Linked DNA regions of Caenorhabditis elegans. The protein of the gene in region 1 interacts with the protein of each later gene in a biochemical or structural test. Each region holds a gene or a part of one and is shown in the gene's direction. Other genes may lie near its edges.

Region 1 (7,646 bases):
CTGTAAATTCTCAGGCAGGTTTCAGGCAGGCAGTGGAACCGCGCCTGCCTACCATGGAAGTCCTAGTTCCCGTAATATGGTCGATTTTCGAAGAAAAAAAATCCGGCACTTCCGCTGACTCACGTAGTGCCAGGCTGCTGTCCCATCACGGGTTGATCTACAAAAAATGCGGGAATTTTTTTGGCCCAAAAATACGTGACGTCAGCACGTTCTTAACCATGCGCGAAATCAGTTGAAAAGTCTGCGCGTCTCAATCAACTCCCGCATTTTTTGTAGATCAACGTAGATCAAGCCGAAACGGGACACACTCTGACCACATTTCCGCTGACTAATTGTGATCTACTTCTTATCATCCCGCCAACCTCCCCCGCCACACCCCAGTTTTTTCAGACATTCCCCACTATCGGTTTGAATTTTCTTCCTCTCACCTCCCTCGCCACTCTCTCTCTCTCTTTCACACAAGATGAATCATCATTGGCATTCAATTTGCAAATCGATGTCTCCGCTCTCTGTGTTCTCTGTGTTCTCTGTGTCTCTCCCCACTCTCTCTCTCTCCCATCATCATCATCATCACTGTACCATTCTCTATGTCAGTGTCGTTGTGTGTGTGTGAGTGGTGTGAGTGGGGTGTCTCCAACCAACACATACAGTAGTGACTCACTACCAGTGATCTACCCAGTGGCCATAATTTTTGACGTCTATACGTTTTTTTTTTGCCGAAAAAATTGCTCCAAAAAAGCAATTTTTGTGGTTTTCCAAGCGAAAATCTGGAAATTTTCTGAAAAATTCCATTTTCACCGTTGAAAATTGCGATTTTCGTGATTTTCCACGTTTTTGAAGTTTTTCGGCCATTTTCAAGCTATTTTCCGTTGCTCGAATTCGGTTGAATTCCACCAAATGCACAAATTTGTTCAGAAATTTGGAAATTCGCCGGATTTTCATGGATATTCTGGAAAAATTCCATTTTTTAACGTTGAAAATTTGGAATTTTCGGTCAAAATACGACCAAATTCACAAATTTATTTGGAAATTTGAAATTTTTCTGCGAAATTCCATTTAAAAACGTCGAAAATTCCATTTTTCCATAGATTTTCGTGGCGAAAACTTAAATTTCCACCCTTTTCAAGCGATTTTTCCGTTGAAAAAGCGACCAAATTCACAAATTTGGCCGAATGAATTTCACGGAAAATTTTGAAATACCTCCTTAAAGGCGCAGGGACTTATTCAGATGGGTCTCGCCGCGAGAACACAGTTTTTTTAAATTTTTGTGGCTTTTTCAATGAAATTACTTGATTTTTAGCGAATTTTGTCGTTTTCCTCTCATTTTTTTTGGTGATTAAGACAATTTTCACCAAAAAAATGGGAGAAAAACGACAAAATTCGCTAAAAATCAAGTAATTTCATTGAAAAAGCCACAAAAATTAAAAAAAACTGTGTTCTCGCGGCGAGACCCATCTGAATTAGTCCCTGCGCCTTTAAGGAGGCATGTGTCGAATACTCATGAAATTGCTCATTTTCAAGCGATTTTTCCCGATAAAAGCCCATTTTTCTCGCATTTTCTCCTGTTTTTTCTCTTTTAAATATTTGTTAATCTCAATTTTCCAATCTAATTTTTTCTAATTTTCCCTTTTTTTTGCAGGGCTCTACGGGTGTTCCCTCTCGCGTTCCTCACTCACACACACACATAGAGATAGATGGCTGCGATTAGAAAGAAGGTGAGCAGCAGCTCCTCTCATTCTGATGCTCCGCGGCTCATTAAATTGTGCTCAATTGGAGAGAAAATTGGAGAAAAAACGACGAAAGTCGATAAATTCTCCTTGAAATTACAGAAATTTCAGTTTTTTCAGCAATTTTTCGCGAAAATCGATGTTTCTCGGCGATTTTGGGGCTCTGAAGCCATTTTCATTGAAATTTAGTGAAAAAAATATGTGTTTTATCTAAAATAACTGAAAAATGGCTCAAAAATTGTCGAAATAATAGTTTTTGACAATTTTTGAGCTCTTTTTCAGTTTTTTTCAGATAAAATACATATTTTTTCACTAAATTTCAATGAAAATGGCTCCAGAGCCCAAAATCACACGAAAATATCGATTTTCACGAAAAAAAACTGAATTTTTTGTCATTTCCCTTGATTTTGAGGCGAATTTATCGATTTTTGTCGTTTTTTTCCCGAAAAAATCGAAATTTTCTCGGAAATTCCACTTTAAAATTGACTATTTTTTTGTTTTGCAGTTGGTGATCGTCGGCGACGGAGCCTGCGGTAAAACTTGCCTGCTCATCGTTTTCTCAAAGGATCAGTTCCCAGACGTGTATGTGCCGACTGTTTTCGAGAATTATGTTGCCGACATTGAAGTTGACGGAAAGCAGGTGCGGATTGGATGAAGAAATTGTGAAAAAATGCGATTTTTGAGCCGAAAATCGAGTTTTTCGTTCGGAAATTGACCAAAATGAAGGAATTTGTGATTTTTGAGCTGAAAATCGTGAAAAATTGCGATTTTTGAGCTAAACACGTTGTTTTTTCGACAAATTTTGACTAAAAGGAGCAAATTTGTGCTTTTCAGCCGGGTTTGAGCTTATCATTGAAAAAATTGGCTCGAAACAGTGAAAAATCGCGTTTTTTGAGCTAAAAGTCATGTTTTTCCGATAAATTTTGACTAGAAGGAGCAAATCTGTGATTTTGAGCTGAAAATAGTGAAAAATTGCGATTTTTGAGGAAAAAAAATCGTATTTTTGAGTCGAAAATTGCCTTATATTTTTTTAAGCTGAAAATCGTGTTTTTCAGCTATTTTTTTGCTGAAAATTCCCTATTTCTCAAAGTTTTCGTGAAAATTCCCCGTTTTTTTTACCAAAAATTTAAGAAAAATTGGCAAAAATGACTGTTTTTCGCCTATAAATTGACTGAAATGCACACACAAATTTACGATTTTAAGCAAAATTTTGAGGAATTTTGAGAGATTTTTCAGAAAAACTTGTGTGTTATTTTTCGAGAAAAACAGTATTTTCTGCCATTTTTTTACCTAAAAATCCAGGTTTTTAGCTAGAAATTCAAAATTTTCCAAAAAATGCCAATTTTTTGCTGAAAATCCGAGTTTTCGCCCCCCGAAAATTCGAATTTTTTATCCAACAATCCAAATTTTAAACCTAAAACTCCTGGTTTTACACCAGAAAATTCGAATTTTCTCATCTGAAAATCCAGGGTTTTTCACAAGAAAATTCGAATTTTTTACCCGAAAATCTAAGTTTTTCCTCTAAAAATCCAATTTTTTAACCTAAAAAATTCAAATTTTTGCTGAAAATCCAAGTTTGCTAGCTGCAAATCCAGGTTTTTCCCTTTTCAAATTTTACCAGGAAATCTAAGTTTTTCGGCTGAAAATCCGAGTTTTTAGCCACAAAATATATAAATTTTTCCAAAAAAAAAACCAATTTTTACTTATAAATCCAAGGTTTTTAGCTAGAAATTGCCATTTTTCATATTTTAAAATCCAAAATTTTCACCCGAAAATCCAGATTTTTACTCTAAAAAATCCAATGGTTTTTACCTAAAAAAAATTCAAAATTTTCCGAAAAGTGCAATTTTTTTGCTGAAAATCCGAGTTTTTACCTCAAAACTCCAAATTTTTAACCTAAAAAATGCACATATTTTTCCTCTAAAAATACAATTTTTACCGAAAAATCCAGGATCTCTAGCTGACAATTCAATTTTTCATTAAAAATCAAAGTTTTCCCCAAAAAAACCATTTTTTTAGCTGAAAATTACAATTTCTTACCTAAAATTCCAAATTTTCCTCATAAAGATTTTACTTATCTAAAAATTCAAATTTCTAGAAAAAAATCCGAGTTTTCTTCTCTAAAATCCGTTGTGTTTTTAACCTTAAAAATTCAAATTTTTCCAAAAATAGCGATTTTTGCTGAAAATCAAAAATTTTCCCTAAAAATATCAATTTTTACCTGAAAATTCAAATTTTTCACCTAAAATTCCAAGTTTTCTAGCTGAAAATTCAAATTTTTCTAAAAAAAATAGCAATTTTTGCTGAAAATTTAAGTTTTTTACCCGAAAATCCAAGTTTTTAACCTAAAAATTCCAAATTTTCCCTAAAAATATCAATTTTTACCTGAAAATTCCAAGTTTTTAACCTAAAATCCAATCCAAAATTTTAGCCTAAAAAATTCATATTTTTCCTTTAAAAATACCACCATATTTACCTAAAAATCCAGGTTCTCTAGCTGAAAATTCAAATTTTTCTAAAAAAAATAGCAATTTTTGCTGAAAATCCGAGTTTTTCGCCCGAAAATTCAATTTTTCATCCAAATATCCAAATTTTAAACCTTATAAATTCAAATTTTTCCAAAAATAGCGATTTTTGCTGAAAATCCAGATTTCTTCCTCTAAAAATTGAAATTTTTAACCTAAAAAATGCATATTTTCCTCTAAAAATACAATTTTTACCTAAAAATCTCGGGTTTTCCCTAAAAATTCAAATTTTTTCACTTAAAAATCCGAAATTTTCTGCAGGTCGAACTTGCTCTATGGGATACAGCTGGACAAGAGGACTATGATCGTCTGCGTCCACTCTCTTATCCGGATACTGACGTCATTCTGATGTGCTTCTCAATTGATTCACCCGATTCACTGGAGAATATTCCAGAAAAATGGACACCAGAAGTCAGGCATTTCTGTCCAAATGTTCCGATTATTTTGGTCGGAAATAAACGAGATCTTCGTAGTGATCCACAGACTGTTCGAGAATTGGCAAAAATGAAACAGGAGCCCGTGAAGCCTGAGCAGGGACGAGCAATTGCTGAGCAAATTGGAGCATTTGCATATTTGGAGTGCTCTGCGAAGACTAAGGACGGAATTCGTGAGGTACAACAAGCAGCAGTAGCACCGAATTGAGAGATGGAAATTATTTTGGAAATTGAGCGAAATTTTTGGAAATTTCAGCCGAGAAAACCCAAAAAATTTTGAATTTTTATGAAAAAAAGGGTTTTCAGAAAATTCGAGCTCAGAATTCCAATTTTTCTGCAAAAAATGATGACTTGCGAAGAAAAATTGGAAATTGTGCGAAATTTCCAGAAATTTCAGCCAAGAAAACCCAGAAAATTGCAATTTTTATGACATTCTAATGATTCGAGCTCAAAATTCGTGATTTTTGCGAAAATTTATATTTTTGACGATTTTGGCCTCTAAAAAGCTGTAAAAACTGCAAAAAATCCGAATTTCAATATTTTATGGGAAAATTGGGTGGAATTTTCGGAAATTTCAGCCTCGAAAACCCAGAAAATTGCAATTTTTATGAAAAAAAAAATGGATTTTCAGTGATTTTCTGAAGATCCGAGCTCAAAATTCCAAATTCGACGATTTTGGGATATAAAAAGCTGCAAAAATCCAAAGTTTTCGTGAAAAATTTTCCGAAAAGTTGCAAATTTGTGGAAATTTTCCAGATTTTTTGAAAAAAAATTTTTCAATTTATGTGAAAAAATGAATTTCTTATGATTTTTTAAAGATCCGAGCTGAAAATCGACGATTTTGTGCTCTAAAAACTGAAAAATCTGAAATTTCAATTTTTCATGGAAAATTATGGAAAAATGATTGGAATTTCCGGAAATTTCAGCCGAGAAAACCCAAAAAATTTTGAATTTTTATGAAAAATTCCAGATTTTGGCGAAAATCGATATTTTTCGACAATTTTGGGCTCTAAAAGGCCGTATAAATTTAAAAAAAAACTGATATTTCAATCTTTTTCTTGTAAAACTTCACCTGGAAGATATTTTCGATATTTTTCGACAATTTTCCGACAGTTTCAGCTGAATTTTCTAAATTTTTTGGAAATTTGGCCTAAATTCAGTCAAAAATCCGATTTTCGCTTCGAGACCCAAAAACATTGATTTTTTTAAATGAAAACTTAAAATATGTCCAAAAATTTCGATTTTCCAAAAGTTTAAATTACAAAAAATTCAATTTTTTTGGAGAAAATCACTTTAAAAAAATATTCGAAAAATTGGAAAAATTACAGATAAAAATTCAATTTTTGCGGAAAAAAAAATCGTTCTATTTTGAACAGAAATTTTCGAATTTCCCACAATTTTTTCCAATAAAATTTAAAAAATGGCTCAAAATTGAGCTAAAAGTCTCAATTTTCAACAAAAGTTCATCTAATTTTCCCCCAAATTTCCAATTTTTTCCAAGAAAATCGAAAAAAAGTTATTTTTCTGATTTTCTTTTAAAAAAAAAATTCAGCTAAAATTCTCACTTTTCCATTGAAATTTCCCCGAATTTCCAATTTTTCAGAAAAAAATTTGGAAAAAAGTCTTTTTTTTTTTAATTTTAATAAATTTCAGTTCAAATTTGAGGTTTTTAGCTCAATTTTGAGCCATTTTTCTGATTTTCATTGAAAAAAAAATAATTTAGCTGAAATTCACCAGTTTTCCCCCAAATGTTCAATTTTTTCAAATAAATTTTTAAAAAAAATTTACAATTTACAATTTTTTCCTGATTTTTTTCCAGAAAAAAGTGAAAAATTGCTCTAAAAGTCTCAATTTTCAGCTAAAATCCGAAAAAAAATCGATTTTTTTTTCACTAATTTTTTCCAATTTCAGGTATTCGAGAAGGCGACACAGGCGGCATTGCAACAGAAGAAGAAAAAGAAGAGCAAGTGCATGATTTTGTAAATCAATCGATAAAATGTCTGCTCTTCTTCTCTCTAATTCTCTCGTTTTTTCTCTCCCTCTTCAAAAATTGATTTTTCATCATTTTCCCCCCATTTCCCCCATACAAAATTTGAAATTCGCGCTTCTCTATTCCAATTTTTTGAGGTGGTGGCCGTGGCCTTGAAACTTGAAAAAGTTAGGCCACCGCTCTCTCTCTCTTTCTCTCTGAAATTCCAAATCACACATCTCCTCTCCCGCCCACACACACACACACATTTTATAGCTTAATCCCCGAATTCCCCGAATTAAAAAAAAAATTTCCGTTTTTTTTTTTGATTTTCACAATGTCAAACTGTGTTATTCCTCCGTTACCCCTCCGACGCGCTTACACACTTTTTTCTTTAAAAAATAATTTTTTCTCTGCCAAAATCACTAATTTTTCATTTTTATTGAAAAAACCTCCATCGCCCCATCGCTACTTTCCTATCTTAGCTTCAATGTAACAGGTTTCTATTTTTTTTTCGTCGAATTTTTTTTCCTAGCGAGCTTTAGCCAAGGATGCCGTTTTTCGACGATTTTGTAGAAAATTTTTTCAAAAAAATTGGACAATTGGCCAAAATTGAGCTATTTTTTGAGAAAATCCGGAAAAAATCGGAAATTTTCCGTTTTCTCCTGAAAAATCGGAAATTTCCCTTTTTTTTTACGAAAAAATCGATTTTTAGCTATTTTTCGAGAAAATCTGAAAAAACAAAAAAATTCCGTTTTCTCCTAAAAAATCGGAAATTTCCCGTTTTTTTAAATGAAAAAATTGAAAAAAAAAAATCGATTTTCACCACATTTTGAGATATTTTTACTGAAAAATCGGAAAAAAATCGAAAAATTTTCGATTTTTAATGAAAAATCGGAAAAAATCGAAAATTTTTCGATTTTAAGGACTCTTGGCTCCAGAGCTTGCTCCAGAAAAAAATTATCGATTTTTCTCGATTAATTTAAGAAAT
Region 2 (4,874 bases), on another chromosome or scaffold:
CATCCATCTAATGTACAAACCAATTCCCTAGACTGTTTTTTTTTTGAATAAAGCAAAAAAAGTAAACTTACGCTTAGGCTTAGGCTCAGGCTTAGGCTTAGTCTTAGGCTCAGGTTTTTGTTCAAGAATGAGATAATTTCTTCAAATCTAGTTTTTATTTGTCAATTTCAAATTAAAAAAAAAACTAATTAAATTGAACCAAATTTCTGAAAAATACTGTTTTGATAAATTATACTTTTATGTAGAATTACTGTAGCTATCAAATATCTTTCAACTGGCAATTTGTCTGAAATTCTACAGTTCCAAATACTCTTAACCCTCTCTTTTTTTATTTTTAAAATTCTCCCTGGACTTTTTCTAAATTTCGAATAACCCAATAGTGTCACCCTCATCATAATTAGGGTTTCGTGTGCCTGTCTGCATATATTGCGTGACCTCCATTTCATCGTCCTCTCTCTCGACAGTTGACTCCTTAGGTTTTGGGTGACTCGGATCGGATTTATGAATAAGAAATTGGGCTGCTGAGGGGTTCACCAATTACACATGCGCGCACCATTCTTCAAGGAAAATCCTTATGAATTTCTAATGAATCAAAGAGTTGTTGAGTCCCCGTCCAAAAGCAACATTTTTTTGGTGTCTAGAAAGACAAAAACTCCTATGTTTTGAGAATGTTATGGTCGATGAAAACATATAAAACTGTGAGGGTCGGCTTCCCAATTCAAGTTCGCTCCATTGAGAACCACCTCCAAAAGTGACATTTGCAATGATATTCACAAGAACAAGCAAGAATAAGAATTGACGGAAAAATTGCTTGTTTTCTGTTTCTGTGAATAGAGGAAAAACCAATTGTCGTTGTGATTCATCTTGATTCATTTGAGGTCTTGGTGACGTGGGTAGAAGAAACATTCTGGAAAACGAGAGAATCTGAAATTGTTTTGTGGTCTTGCGACGAATAAGTGTTTGGGGTGGTACTGTAGAGAAATGTGAAAATTGTGAAAAAAACTTTTCAAATTTTTTTTGTTTTTTTTTTGTTTCAAAACAATTGTTTGTTATTTTCTGGAAAAAATTGATTACTCTAAAAAAATCGAAATTTGAAAAATTTTACTCAAAAATCGTTAAAAAATTGAAGGAGCTTAGGCTTAGGCTTAGGCTTATGCTCAAGTTTAGGCTTAGGCTTAGGCTGAGGATTTGGCTTGGACTTAGGGTTAGGCTTGGGCTCAAGCATGGCTTAGGATTTTCCGGCTTTTTTGATTTTTGAAAGGGTTCCTATCGGCCGATCAGCGCGAATTTTTACGGAGAGTTTAGGCTTAGGCTTAGGCTTAAGCTTAGGCCTAGGCTTAGGCTTTGGCTTGCCTATGTAGGCATACTGTATTTTTCACAATTTTAGCGCAATTTTCCGTAAATAATTTTTTGTAATTTTTTTCATATAAAATGTTTAAAAAAATTCGAAAATTTAGGAATTCTGAGAAACATTTTTTAAAAGCTAAAAAAAGTTTTCGGGTTCAAAATATCCAACAACTCGTGGTTTGGGCTTTTCCGCTCTGTTTTCAGCTATGCATTCTCATTTCCTTCCGTTCTTTGACTTTTTTTTTGACTATTTTTGGGAGAAGAGTCGAAAATTTCCAGAGAAGCACAACACAAAAAAAGGGGAAAAAGTTGCTAGATATCTATCAGTAAACTCTTTTTCCTCTCTTGGTTTCTTTCACTTTTCATCTTTCTCTAGTTGCGGCGGCGGGGAGGGGGAAAACTAGAGAGGAGACAAGGCGCCGCCCCTTTCTATTGGTCCTGGTTTCCCCCCGTTTTGGATCGCTCCAGCTCCCAACTCCAGAAAAAAAAATATGTTGGAAAATGGTTCTGCAACTCCCTCAACTTCTATTCCTTGCACTTTCACATCTTCGGAACCCCTATCCGCAATGAGATTGTGCTATAATGGGGCGACGACGCTGCTCGCCGCCACCGCGTGTCCGGCGGCCTTTGTGGATTTGGATTCGATTAGAGAAGAGCCCCCCTCGCCGAGACCTTTGGATAGAGACGATTCAGTATTCTTTCGTGAATCTTGCTCCACCATCGGCTCACCGTTAGACGAGCTCCCCGCACTTCCCACCTCGTCCACGTCGTCGCCCTTCAAATTTATGGAAAGTATTCAGAGGAAGCGGAAGAGTATGTTTAGAAGGAATCAGTCGAGCAGGTGAGCTTAATCCTCATCATCAGATTATGCTTTCATTTTTTCGTGCATAGTATTAGCTTAATTATTGCTTCTTTTTTTGCTAAGGAAGATCCACCAAGGCCAAGGGTCAAAAATGTTATAAATAAAAATGAAAACAAAAAACAATTTCAAATCCGAAACCATCAATCACAATTTCTGCACGGACCCTCCCGAAATGTAGCTGTCCTGACATCAAAGTTCAGCTCAAAATTTTCGAGGATTTTCACCTGTGCCCCTTTCAGATATTATTCTGTTTAGCATTTGGGTTTTCACGTCACTTGGAGATTTGTCTTATGTGTTTTGTTGAAACGTATATTTGACTAGAATTTTTGAAAATTATCAGTGAAATTGCTCCGTAGACGGTTACTTGCGGAATAATCTAAAGTTGGATTTTTAAAAAAATATTTTTGAGTGAAAATGTTCCAAATTTTATAACAAATTATTGTCCCTTTACACTACAGTAACCCGTTAAAAACCGTCCCAGTAGTTTTACAAAAGTAGTAAAATTATTTAAAATTCTAGAAGTAGCTGTAACCGTTACATAATTCAAGCTTTCATTGCTACTTTTAAACTCCAAGCTAGTTATTTTGACAGCTCAGATCTCGGTCACTTTAGTAGAAAGCTGTAATTGCTGAATTACAAATTTATAGAAAAATAAATAATAAATATTTTGATCGTTGACAATTTTTTGATAGCATAAAAATAAGCCGAGTTATATGATGCCGAAGCAATGAATTTTATCAATTTTTTTCTCAAATAGTTATTTCTATTGTCTTCCCGATTCTTATCAGTCTTCGTTCTCTTCCCGGTTTCTCTACTCTATGACTTTTTTCTCTTCAAATTTTCCCACGATTTAGTACCATTGTGAATGAAAATCCGACGGATATCCGTTCGCGCGGAGACCACAAGGAGCGTCATCGTTTCCCCCATTTGCATTGATATTGTGGAATTTTGGGTGTTTCTTTCCATTCAACAAAAAAAATCAGTCAAGTGCAAATATCGCGTGCTGCAAAATAAAGGGATCGGGGAGATGAAAATTAATTTCAACCGAAATTTCAAAATGTGCCCTAAGGCGACAATTTTTGAGTGATCATCTCATTTTTTTATTTGGGTGGTGGTACTGGATACTCTCTTTTTTAATTGCAATTTTGACGGAGTTCCTTCTGGAAACATGGTTTTTGGTGTTGAGATGGGTTATGGAGGTAATGAATATATCAGTTACTGAAAGAGGGGGCTGAAAAACGCCCGGAAAGCGCCTCCTAAGACTGGGAACATAGAAAGGCAATGTGGGTGGATGACTGGAAGCACGTAGATTATTCAAAAAAAAAATTCCAAATTTCAAAATATACTTTAAAGCTAATTTGATTAGAGTTTTGAGCTGCTAAAACTCATCAGAATTTTCTAATTTTTAACTAAATTTTTTTTTTGCAAATTTAGAAAATTAGGTACTCCTAACTTTATAGATATATTCAAGAATGTTCTAGTGTTTTTTTAGTTTCTAACAGCTTTTTTTCTCTAAAATTCCAACTTCCCAACCCTATACCAACTTCTTCATTTTCAGCAACCTAATCAACACCGAGAAGCGTCGGACGACTCGCAGGCCATCACTTCCGTCGATTCCACCAACGATCGACGAGATGAGCAGTAGTGTTGGACATGCTCGAAGCAGGAGACCATCTCTGCACAATGATTGGACAAATGAGCACGCTCAGAGGAATGCATTAGATGTGAGCTTTTGAATTCAAAAAATTAGTTTTGTTGATAAAGAGAATGGGATCTGAAACGATAGCTGGAATGTGAAAAAATATTAGTAAAATTTTTTTAACTAGAACCGCAGCCAACTTTGATGGCTTGTATCTTGTTTCATATCAAAGATAGCAACACATTTTCAATTACAGAACTATAGAAAAACTCAAGCAAAACATTTCGTCAGTGGACACTTTTTTGATGACGCAAGAGACCGCCGAGATATGAGCCGCCAAAGTTAAGCATATCTAATATTACATCAGAATCAAAATTTGAAAATTTTGCTAGTTTTCCACTCACAATATCGTTAAAATTAATTAATTTAAGGTCAAAGTTATGAGACCATTACAATAATTTTCTTATTTGAAAAATTTTGAGCGTTCTAGACAGCATCCCAATTACTTTAACGTTCAGATGTCTGAACTTTACTTGATAGTTTAGTTTTGGGTGGAATTTGGTGAAATTTCAAATTTTTGAAATGAAAATTGAAGTAAACCTTGAAGGAATATTGGGGACCTATGCCTGCCAGGGACTCGCGTGCCTACGTGCTTGTATACCTACGTACCTATGAGTCTATTACATGCCTTTGGTGAACCTTATACAAATTAATTGAAATCCCTGTAAGAATAAACTCAAAAAGCGATAGGCAGGCACGTAGGCATGCAGATGAGTAGGCAGGCGTGGGCATGACTACGTGCCTGCCTGCTATCAAAGTCTTCAACCACGTCACTTCCTAAAAGCCTACCTAGAACTCCCAATCAACAGTTGATTCAAAGAAGTTTTCTAGATAAAAACACGAGTGCTTACCCACTACATATCCTCCTCAGCACTTGGGTTTTGCTAGCCTCATGTTTATATTTCCTCCCTCTTCCCTTATCAAGTATTCTTCTCACCAATTTCGTGTTCATAAATCGTGTCGTCT
Region 3 (6,378 bases), on another chromosome or scaffold:
TGCTGTGCGTCTTTAAAGGAGTGCTGTAATTTTTATCGATTTTCATTATTTTTTGATGAAAATATATTTATTCATTATACAACTTAAAGTTCATTATTTCAAAAAAACTATAAGAACTTATTGAAAATTTGGCAACAAACGGTTTTGAAATTACAGTACTATTTAAAGGCCCACAACTTTTTGAACTTAACACAAATTAGTCGAACTTCAACTTTTACTTGTCTTGTATGCTCCATATTTTAAAGTTATTTAAATCTAGATCATTAGAGACTGCTTGAACTCACCAATATGACTGATCCCAAATATTAGAAAACAAATAGTCGAAATAATCATGTCAGTGAAAGAAAAGAAACCGTCAGTTGTAGTAACCCTTCAAACTGTCCGTTTTCCCACAATTTCCCCCAATTTCTTCCTGCTGCTTTTTCATTCCACCCACTCCGCCCACTTTTTACCAGAAGGACAACTGTTGCCTCACAGCAAGTAGTTGGTTAGTTGCTTGTGTCTGTGTGTGTATCTACTTTATGCCATTTGATATACAACATTAACCACCAGTAGTTTTATTTAGTTGCCTAGTGTTGGCGAGTAAACGGATGAGTGGACATACAAAAATCTGAACGAGGTATTTGCAGGATTTTGGGAGAATAAGTCAGAAAAAAAGTTGATTAGAAGACAAGGAAATGCCTCCAGTTTCTCCATATCATCAATTATCATCTTGCGAACAAGTTCGTGCTCATTCTTCAGTGATTCAGATTCGAGTTGTTGCTCAAGCTCCACGCCGCGAGAATTATTGGAAGCTTCAAATCGCAGCTTTTCAACCTGAATAATAAAAAAGGTATATTGAGTTGATTATTCAATTGAGCCAACCTCTGCTTCCAGACCAATATTTTTTCTTCTGAATTCTTGACGTCTTCGGAACCTTTTTCTTGCGGCTATCTCTCTTTTGCCTTTTTCCCATCTTTCCGGTTCAATTTCAATCTAGAAAGACAAAATGATGGAATCGTATTCACCGCACAGTTTCCGTTTTGCCCAGACATTCACTTTCAATAAGTACAGTAGTTTTGAAAAAAGCAAGTTTTTGTCTGAAAAAATAAACTTCTATAAAATGTTAGTTCAGTTTTCACAAAATGTCGTCAATTAAAATGCGCGCTGTGCAGTACGCATTCGGTGTATAAATTGTAAACATCCACCGTAGTAAGATGTGCAGGTTCTTACAGTAACCCGTTGTAAAAAATAAGAAAAAATGCGGGAAATTTTTCATTTTTGACTAAATTAGGATAATTTTTAAAAAATTATCGATAATCATGCGAATTTGATTTTTTTTTTCTCGGTTTGGACGCAGAATCGACGCTTCTCTGTGTTCTCAATGCTTTTTTTCTGTAATATTGATGCTCCTGATGAAAAATGAACTGAAATTTAAGATTCGCCAGCCTGTGCGGCACGCTGTTCACACAATTCGAATCTTGAACTCTTCTCCGTATTTCTACTTGTTATCATGCGTTTCTATTGAAAGTTGATAAGCTTTTCGATTCAAAAATGTTCGTAAATTAATTTAATGAAAATATCTCTCTTTTTCTCGTTTAAAAACGTGTTCTCCTGCCTATAGGCTTCTCGAACTATCAATTCAAACATTTTTCAGGCTGACTAACTCGAGAATATATGGAACACAACGACTTTCGTGTCGTTACATCCTCGTCGGTGTATCGGAAAGGCTCGACGACAAGCGGAGTGATCGCCGGCGCAGGTCCGAGGCCAAATAAATTTAGTTACACTCTTGGAGAGGTTTGTGCTGGAAAACTATTCGAATCTATAATATATTTTTAATATGCATTTTCAGGTATGCTCAACGAATGTCACTCTGGACGTGAACGTCGGCACCGGCTGGACGAGAATACGTCTGAAGGAAGTTCCCAAGTTCATTGTGAACGCGTTCAACATCATCTCGAAGCACGGAATGGACACTGATGGTATTTTCCGCAAGGAAGGCAACTCTGTCCGGCTGAATCGCGCAGAAGTTCAGGCGATCTACAAGGGACAACGCGACATTCCGAACGATTACAGTGTTATTGACGTTTGTACAATGGTGAAGCGTTTCCTTCGTGATCTGAAACCACCTCTTCTTGACTCTGAAGAGTGCCGAGCCCGACTTCTGAAGAAAGCATGCCAGGCGAGAATTTCGGATGGTTTTTTGATGACGCGGGATGAAATGGCAGATGTCTTCTACATGGAGGATCGAACGATTGAGCAACAAACACCGCTGCTCTCAGATGCGCATGCGTCAACGCTGGGATATGTGATGAGACAGCTGAACAGGGTATGGCGAGAATATTTGAATTTTCTTATCCAAAACTCCGTTTCTTCCAGATCGCCGCCCACAGTGAGCAACACAAGATGTCAATTGAAAATTTGGCTATCGTTTTCATTGGAAGTGTTTTCGGTGACGGAATTCATGATTCGAAGAAAACTCCGCAGCTCCGTCGTGGCTCGAAGGAGGATATTTTGGCGCAGAAAAGACATGAAATGAATGTGAACACGGCGGCGGTTAAATTATTAATTACCAATGTAAGTTTGATTTTTTTCCTAATTTTAAAAGCTAATTTATATCGATTTCAGGCCAATCTAATTGGTGTCCGTCGTGATCCATACGTCACCAGTAACGCAATGCTCCGAAGCTCAAGCGCTATGCCACGCTGCATGAGCAGTGGATACGAAACGTTGTCCGATGCGGATTGTCTTTCGGCTCAAACAGCTTCGCTTCAAAGAAGAGAACCGGGCCCATCCACGCCTCTCACCATTCACCGACGAGATTCAGAAGCGGTGCACAAAATAGTGACTGCACGAAAGAAGGGCGAACAGGATTCGAAGAAGAAGAGATCCGCATCGTTTCTTCCGAGCTTTCGCGACCTTAAACATCGTTTTTCGAATATGAAGAGAACCAAGAGTCCAAGCCCGGAACGCCTTACGACTGGACACACTGCCGAGCCATCCAAGTTGACGGACATATGCTCATTGAACTTGCACACCGATCCTCACCAAGACCCATTAATTCATCGGAAAAAGGTGGCACGTAATGAGTCGACTACCATGTCGACGGGATCAACAGCGTCTGGAAGACAATCGAGAAGCCATCAGAATAGGCGAGGGAACACGAACGCCACACCGAGAAATAACGGTAGTGGAAAGTCTACGATTTCCACGATGTTCGAGTCCGAGCAAATTCTCAGCAGTGGAGCTCTTCGACGGTTGTCGGCCAGCGATCGGAATACGGATGCAATGCGATTTGCAAAACAAATAATGTCCAATGAGCAGATGAATGTTGCAGGTGAGAAATCGTTCCATTCTGGAAAATAATTTATGTTACATTTTCAGAGTTTCTATTATCCGAGCATCAACGCAATCGAGAATCTAAAATTCGAAAACGCAATACTGTGATATTGGGTGAGAAGCCGAGGTCTAATGGTGTGAAGCTCACAAACAGGCGTCACACTGCTCCCATCAGCAATAGGCTCCGCAGAAATCGGCCGAACACTGTTGGTGCCAGCCTCCCTCATCGAAATGACTCATTTCTCAATAACGGATCTTCCATGGAGGAGAAGGAGAATCAGGCGGACTGCGAGACTGATGACACGCTAGACGCAACGAACAATGTGGATCAGTCAGAATGGTTATTAGAGCAGAAAGCACTGGAAGCCAGATCGCGGCGAGAGGGAAGGAAGAATAAGGCGGCTCCGATGAGACACATCAGTACAGGAAGCATGCTGGTGCTCAATGGATCCATGGCTGTCGAATCGACGAGTATGTTGAAAGCGGAGCCACTTGTGATGGACTCGTTGAAAGAGGAGTCGCCACAATCGCCACAAAAAACGCCGAAAGTCGTGCTCAGGAAGGATTTGGACAATTTGAAGAAAATGAAGAAGTTCTGTGACATTGCAACGTCGCCAATGGTGATGGATACGCCGACGGTAACAAATAATCAATTTTGAAAGTTGAAAAGGCGTATGTTTTACAGAAACTTTCACACGAGAATGGTCACGCGTGGGTTGGAACGAAGCAGGTTGTATCCGTTACGAGGACTCCTAGTCTTTCGCGAAGACGGAGCCGAGCTCATCTTTCATACTCGAAGGCCACAGAATCTCCTTTAGACAAGCCATCGGAAGTCCGAAGAGAGTCGAGTTCACTGATGTCACCGCTGTTAAAGCACGTTACAATGACGAACAACTCTGCGCCTTCTCAAGTGATCACATCGTCTCCTAGGTTAGTTTCATATCGAAAATGCAGAAAACTATACATACGTTTATTTCAGAACCAATCTCACTCCAAGATCACATACATTATCTCCATTGGCAGTCAAAATTAAGCGATCTACACCGCCGCCGATTCCTCCACATTCACCACCCCATCTTACTCCGGGAAAGTCGGAAGTCTCGTTGGATGCTCTCGATGACATGAAACGAATCTCGATATCTGACGGTTCACGGCGTATTCCAACTTCTCCTTCGCATCCACGGATGCCGAAGACTTTCTCGCCGAAACTGCCAATTCGATCCGTATCAATCGATAATAGATTCGAGTTTCCTGTTGCTGCTGCCGGGGAACCTGAAGAACCGTCAACACAGTTCAAGCTTCCGCAATTGCCGATGCCAAAGAAAATGAACCGATCGGGAATCTCTCCGCTGGCCCGGCAAGCACACTCATCAAAGTCGACGCTTTCGGTACCGAATCGATCAAATCTTCGAGAAACGAAGAGCATCGAGGAAACTCCGACTGCGTTAAGATCGGCGCCAGCTCAAGCTTCCTATCAAGGATCTTCGAATCAGATGTCGCCAAGATCAAGTGATTATTTCGAGTTTGGAAAATACACAAATGCGCTGAGGTCTGCAACTGATGAGTTTGTAAGTATAAAAATTGTAGTGATTGGCAAATAAAAACTAATTCAGGCACTGCCAAGCAGAAAAGCTTCCGTCGAATCTCGTCCTTCAGTTGCAATTCTACGGAATAACAATTGCGGTTTAGTGCGATCCAGAGTCAATCATTTTCAGGTAATTTGTTGTAGAAAATTTTATTTTCTATTCCACAAAAAAACAATTAAAAATTTCAAAGAATATATTTTTTCCAGGAAATCGAGCACTTGCAACGCGTCGAAACATCGATGAGCGGTCGATTGTCAGCAATGTCACAATCATCACTCCGAAGCAATGACCCGTTTTCGGATCGTTTTTCGGATGTCTCGGATCTTCGAAATGCCGCGTTCTCTGAATCCACCGACTCGGCGATCAGCACTCCAACTGCCACTCCAACTACATCACGGGTCTCCAATGATGCTGGGCAATATTTCTAAAAATTAAATTCTTGTATGTTTTCATGAATTATGGCTCACTATTTTTTGTCTCAATTCTACGATCCTCATCCCCATTTTTTGTCTCCCCAGACTTTTTCAAGTACTTGAAATCTCGCATTTTCTATCCCCCGCACGTATTCTTCTTTTAGATACTACTAGATTTTCTAGCTTATCATTCTACAAATAAGAACTACCAATTTCCATGTGTATTTGGGGTTTTTTTGTTGCCATCTGACATTATCAGAATTAGCCTTTGGCACCCAAAAAATCGCGATTTCTCTCCTCATTCCAGCTTCATTTTCATTCCAATTTCCACTGGAAACCCTTTTTTCTCGTATTTTCTCTCCGATTTTCCCGAGTTTTTCTCCTTTTTAGTGTTGCTTCTTGTGTAATATCTGATCATCAACACCACCATTATTATCATTATTTTTAGTATTGTGCTTTACTTTACCCATCTCTTAACTTCAATGCAATTTTTTTCCAACGAAATAAGATGGTGCACTTTTATTTCTCCACATCTTTGATCAAAAATCATCTCGAGAAACTTAGTAGGACAAAACATGTTACGTTTGCTTATTGAATCTGAATTATTATGATGGCGCGGGAAACATTCATAGAATGCGCATTGCACAACATATATGACGCGCAAAATATCTCGTAGCGAAAACTACAGTAACTCTTAAAATAACTACAGCACACCGGTGTCGATTTACGGAAACAATTTAGTAATCGATAAAAAAATCAAAAAAAAACAAATTAACGGAATAAAATTGATTATCGCGGTAACAATTCGAACAGAAATTAGTTCCAAAAATCGAGCGCGTAAATCGACACCAGCGCTACAGTAGTCTTTCATGAGTTACTGTAGTTTCCGCTTCGAGATATTTTTTCGCGTCAAATATTTTGTGTAATACGCATTCTCAGAATTCAGTGTTCCCGTAATATTTCAAAGTAAAATATTCTTTTTTTTTTTAAATTGGTAATTATATACTCAGAAAATTCAGTAATTCCCATTTTTTTGAGTGTCAAAAAAAGTTTCGAAA
Region 4 (4,757 bases), on another chromosome or scaffold:
GCATTTTCTTAATTGAAAAGTTACTGGCAAATATATGTTCCTAATAACATTAGAGATCTTCAAATATTTGTTTCCCATTAGTAACCACCTCAATTTTATTTCCGAGGTGTGGAAATAACTTGTTTAGGTGTGGAACTGAATTGTTTTAAAGTTTTAATTTTCGAAAATATAATTATTTTGTGCCACACTATATCTGTGTTAAAATTCACAACACTTCCAATTTTACGTTTTTGAATTAGTCCAATTCTTAGGCTTTTTGATTTTCTCTCTCTCTCTCTCTCTTTCCCAGCCAAAAACTAACCGCGTTCAAATACTTTAAACAAACGAGAACTGTATTTTCTCGCACTGCTTTTGCTTCACTTGCTCCTCGCAATCAGTGCACAGCGGTGCCCTAGAATGCCCGATTTTGACATTTTTACCTTCTCGTCCTCCTCCACCACCATCATCGCCCACCATCAGCGATTTCCTTGCGCCACTCCCTCGACGATTCGGTTTTCCACAAACATTTTTCCACGCACACACACACACACACAAGTTTATGTGTGTGTGTGAGTGTGAGTGTGTTTCATTTGTGTCACTCACTCTACTTTTTTCTCTCTCATTTCACTATCCACCCATACTCGAACTGTATTTATTTGTCTGTTGTTTGTGACTCTCTCTCTTAGTGGGCGAGAAGATTCCTAATACTTGACATGATATGCGTTATTTCTTTAACTCGCTCTTCAATCTATCAATTGTTCATTTAAAGTTTGAAATTTATCATTCTGTTTAATTTCTAATGTTTTCGATTACTCAGCAGCACGACTTCCTTTCTTGTTCTTGGGCAAGCAACATGATGAGTCATTTGTTAAATTCCCAGAGTAACGAATCAATTGATAAGGGAAGACTATTTTGCTTGACGTTGCATTTGTTCTACTTCTCATCACTTGAATTTTTGGCTCCTCCAGTATGTCATATGTTTCTACAATGACTGATTTAAGGCAACTTGTTTTTTTGTTTTCTTTCGTCAATTTTCGACAATACGCATATGCTTAAAGGGTCAAAAAGGTCAGTCAAAAAGTGGCATAAGTTTTTGCCACTTTCTGAAAAATAGAACTGTTCAAATCAGAAACGACATTCAAAAAATTGGTGAGAACTGAGTTTTCACTGGTTTTTGATTCGAAATAAAAAAAATTTCCAAATTATTTTGAATAGTTTTATTTTAATTTTTTAGTGATTTTAGCATCATTTTAGTATTTTTCCCATATATCCAGAAATTGGATTTTTCCATCTTGTACATGGAAACAAATGATATAGGCGACGCCAGCAAAAAAAAAAAAAGAAATCGCATCAGAAGAAAGCTTCACAAATCTGTTTTACCAACAATTTGTCTTGAAGAAGAAGAGAAAAAGTAGGCGGAGACGAAAAACCACACAGGAGTAGAAAAAGACGGTGGGATAGATAACAAATTGACATTGTTCAACCATTTCGCCCTCCTCTCCGTGTGTTTGTCTAATTCTTCTTGTCTCGAACGAGGTTGTTCGGTTTGATTATGAAATTTCTTTTCCGGTATTTTTCCAGTTGCCCATTTGCCCCATTATTTTTTTTGGACGTTTTCTCTTTTTGTCGCAAGATTTTGGTTTCGACCGTTCGAGTCTTTGCCCTCAGAATCGTTTTTGTCGTAGGCACTCATTTTTGGCCGCATTTTTATTCGCATTTCTTTAAGTCGTTCATAATTGCAATTCTTCGATTCTTGGGTTTTCGAATATTCTGGTTCTTTCCCTTCTTCTTTTTTCTGACAGCGCTTACCCCCCATTTTTCAGCGGAATTATGTCTGACCACGAGAACACTGGTGAAAACACCTCCGAATATCAGTACAAGCAACCACCACAAAAGAGCATCGACGAGCTTCTCAATGCTGACAAGGTTTGTTAAATTTATTTTTAACAAAAAAAATTGAACATTTTGCGAAATTGCTAATGGATGTGGATTGATGAATCTGATCACAAGACAGCTTTGGCCTTCGATCTATTAATAAAAAGTAGTTAATTGAAACAAAGAAAGCCGAGCCAAGCTACGTTCAAAACACAAAATCCTTGCATTCAGGCTACAGTGTTCTGCGAGTTTTAGGTTTGATAATTGTAAAATAGAATCAAAAGGTAGTGCAACGGGCGGCAATTCACCCCGGCAAACTCGTTTTGGTATGACAATCTAATATTTTTAAGTAAATGCTGAAATATAGAAAATATTTTATTTCTTTGAAAATGAAATTTACTTTTGTAGAAAAACTTAACAAGATGTTGAAAACTACCTGAAACTTGTTATTAGTAGAAAGAACTGCCGTTAAAATGTTATCGGCACAACACTAATATCACCTCTTTCTGATTGTTGTGTCAAAGTTTTCTTTTGAGAATGTATATAGAAATATGTGTATTTTCCAAAAACAACGATAGCTTTGATAAGTTTCTCAAAAACTGTCTCATAATCTGTATATTCCTCCTTGAGATAGTTTTTGAACACTTTCCCAAAACTTTTCATACAAAGGAGAGTTATTTTTGGAAAATGCATATATTCGTTACTAGGGGTGGCAAGAGTGCGACCTAGGTCGCTAGGTCGCTGTTTTCATTTAGGTCGCATCGCGACCTAGGTCGCATTGCGACCTGCGACCTAGCGACCTGGGTCGCATTGCGACTTGCGACCTAGCGACCTAGGTCGCATTGCGACCTGCGACCTAGCGACCTAGGTCGCTTTACGACCTGCGACCTAGCGACCTGGGTCGCATCGCGACCTGGGTCGCATCGCGACCTGCGACCTAGCGACCTAGGTCGCTTTGCGACCTGAAGTACTGACATTTTTTATACTAACAAATTGCTACAAATCATTTATTTTACATTGTTTTCGATTTCTTATCCATAAGACACCTTGTCGAAAAAAGTTAGAACAGCCGACATCCGCCGGATTTTCTGCTTTTTTCTACGTTTTTAATTCGAAAAGTGGAAAATGAAATTTTAGAAACAACAAAAACCACAAAAACGTGAACTTTTTGAAACAATTTGCTGAAATGCATGGTTTTATTTGTAGAAATGAATTCTTTGTTCCGTACTTTTGAAAAAAAACTACGCATAAACTTATAAAATCTTAATAGAGAAAATGTTAGTGGAATACACATATTCTGCAATCTTTAGTTTTCGAGTTATACGGATTTTAACAACTCAAGTGAATCAAAACCGAAAGAGAACAAAATGTCGGTAATTCAGGTCGCAATGCGACCTAGGTCGCTAGGTCGCAGGTCGCAATGCGACCTAGGTCGCGATGCGACCTAACCCTCTAGGTCGCAGGTCGACCTAGGTCGACCTATAGCCACCCCTATTTGTTACATTTCTATACAAATTTCCGAGCGAAAAACTTCAACATAACAATGAGAAAAAGGGCATTTTGTGAATTTTCCTAATGTGCCACAATTTTGGTCTCTATTAACCCTAATAAACTTTTATAAAAATCCAATGACAATCACATTTTAGTATGAAATTTTTACAGGAGGACGAGTCTCTAAAAGTGTACAAAGCCAAACTTCTCGGCCAAGGAACAGTCATTGTCGACGAGAAGAACCCACTCCGCGTGATTGTCCGATCCGTCGAGCTGCTCATTAATGGTAAAACTGCGCAATCATTTGACTTATCGGATCCAGCAAAACTTGTCAACTCTGACTTGTCTGTTTCCATCAAAGAAGGTTCCAATTACCGGTTAAGCTTTGCTTTCCATGTGCAACGCGAAATTACGTCCGGATTGCAGTTAGTTTTTTTGTGTGTTTAATCTTAACTTAAAATAATAAATTGTTTCAGCTACAAACATAAGGTGAAACGATCCGGTATCACTGTGGAGAATGAGAAGTACATGATGGGAAGCTACGCGCCAAAACTTGAGATTCAGGAGTACAAATCACCAAACGAAGAAGCTCCGTCTGGAATGATGCATCGTGGAAAGTACAAGGTGTACTCGAAAATTACCGACGATGACAACAATGTGTATCTTGACTGGCAATGGACCCTTCACATTACCAAGGAGTAGAATAATTTTCCGCCTTTACTGAACCTCATATTTATATTCAAATTCTCAATGAAAATGACTTTTTTCTCCAATTTACCGCCCACCCCAAATGTTTTCCTTGTTTTATGGTTATTATTGATTTTGATGCACTAGTTGTGTTGTGTGATGCCTCTCCCCTTTCCCCGCCAAATTGAAATGATATATAAAGTGATATTTCATAATCATTTAAAACAAAGTGTACTGTTTTGTGAAACGTTGGAAACTAACCAAAAAACACTAACTTGCTGCGTTTCCAAAAACTTAAGATCCTAATACGCATTTACACGTTGTTCCGCAATATTCACGTGGTTTCAGCTGGGCCGGAACATTGTATTAATTTCAGAATTAGAGATTTTATTTTGATACAATAAGAATTGAACTACAAAACGTTACAACTTTGAAAATTTAAAAGAGTACTAACGGTTTGGAAGTTTTGAACGTATAAACCCAAAATGTGTTAAAATAAATTAATTTCGTAATAAAAAGTCAAAAAAATTTGAATAGACTTTTCTCACAAAAATCCAAACTTAAAAAAAAATTTACCAGAAACTTTGTAGCAAATTTTCAGATCTTTTTACTGAATACCTAAGTATTTTTGGTACTCGTGTGTTACCTAAAATTACTCTGTAGTTCTAACTTTCAAAATTACTATGTAGTTCTAACTTTTAAAGTTACTTTAAGATTAGTAAATT

The links.
Region 2: the proteins of rho-1 (region 1) and rhgf-2 form a complex in vitro, tested with the Caenorhabditis elegans proteins (one study listed by BioGRID).
Region 3: of the proteins of rho-1 (region 1) and rga-3, one has a biochemical effect on the other in vitro, tested with the Caenorhabditis elegans proteins (one study listed by BioGRID).
Region 4: of the proteins of rho-1 (region 1) and rhi-1, one has a biochemical effect on the other in vitro, tested with the Caenorhabditis elegans proteins (one study listed by BioGRID).

The regions. Positions count from the first base shown.
Region 1 is NC_003282.8:16,483,015-16,490,660, reverse strand, and holds the start of rho-1 (Ras-like GTP-binding protein rhoA), read left to right. Parts: upstream 1-1,639; 5' UTR 1,640-1,694; coding exon 1,695-1,715; intron 1,716-2,232; coding exon 2,233-2,367; intron 2,368-4,513; coding exon 4,514-4,864; intron 4,865-6,597; coding exon 6,598-6,669; 3' UTR 6,670-7,646. UniProt on the Caenorhabditis elegans protein: Required for ventral migration of epidermal cells during ventral enclosure in the embryo and for cell elongation. Also required for ventral migration of P cells during larval development.
Region 2 is NC_003280.10:4,105,443-4,110,316, forward strand, and holds the start of rhgf-2 (DH domain-containing protein), read left to right. Parts: upstream 1-1,838; coding exon 1,839-2,188; intron 2,189-3,767; coding exon 3,768-3,933; intron 3,934-4,874.
Region 3 is NC_003283.11:5,716,249-5,722,626, forward strand, and holds rga-3 (Rho-GAP domain-containing protein), read left to right. Parts: upstream 1-1,636; 5' UTR 1,637-1,656; coding exon 1,657-1,779; intron 1,780-1,834; coding exon 1,835-2,311; intron 2,312-2,361; coding exon 2,362-2,559; intron 2,560-2,610; coding exon 2,611-3,319; intron 3,320-3,366; coding exon 3,367-3,959; intron 3,960-4,006; coding exon 4,007-4,251; intron 4,252-4,300; coding exon 4,301-4,889; intron 4,890-4,934; coding exon 4,935-5,036; intron 5,037-5,113; coding exon 5,114-5,335; 3' UTR 5,336-5,841; downstream 5,842-6,378. Other genes in the region: K09H11.9 (Neuropeptide CCHamide-1), read right to left, coding at 285-333.
Region 4 is NC_003284.9:4,506,707-4,511,463, forward strand, and holds rhi-1 (putative rho GDP-dissociation inhibitor), read left to right. Parts: upstream 1-1,802; 5' UTR 1,803-1,809; coding exon 1,810-1,905; intron 1,906-3,516; coding exon 3,517-3,770; intron 3,771-3,821; coding exon 3,822-4,047; 3' UTR 4,048-4,239; downstream 4,240-4,757. UniProt on the Caenorhabditis elegans protein: Regulates the GDP/GTP exchange reaction of the Rho proteins by inhibiting the dissociation of GDP from them, and the subsequent binding of GTP to them.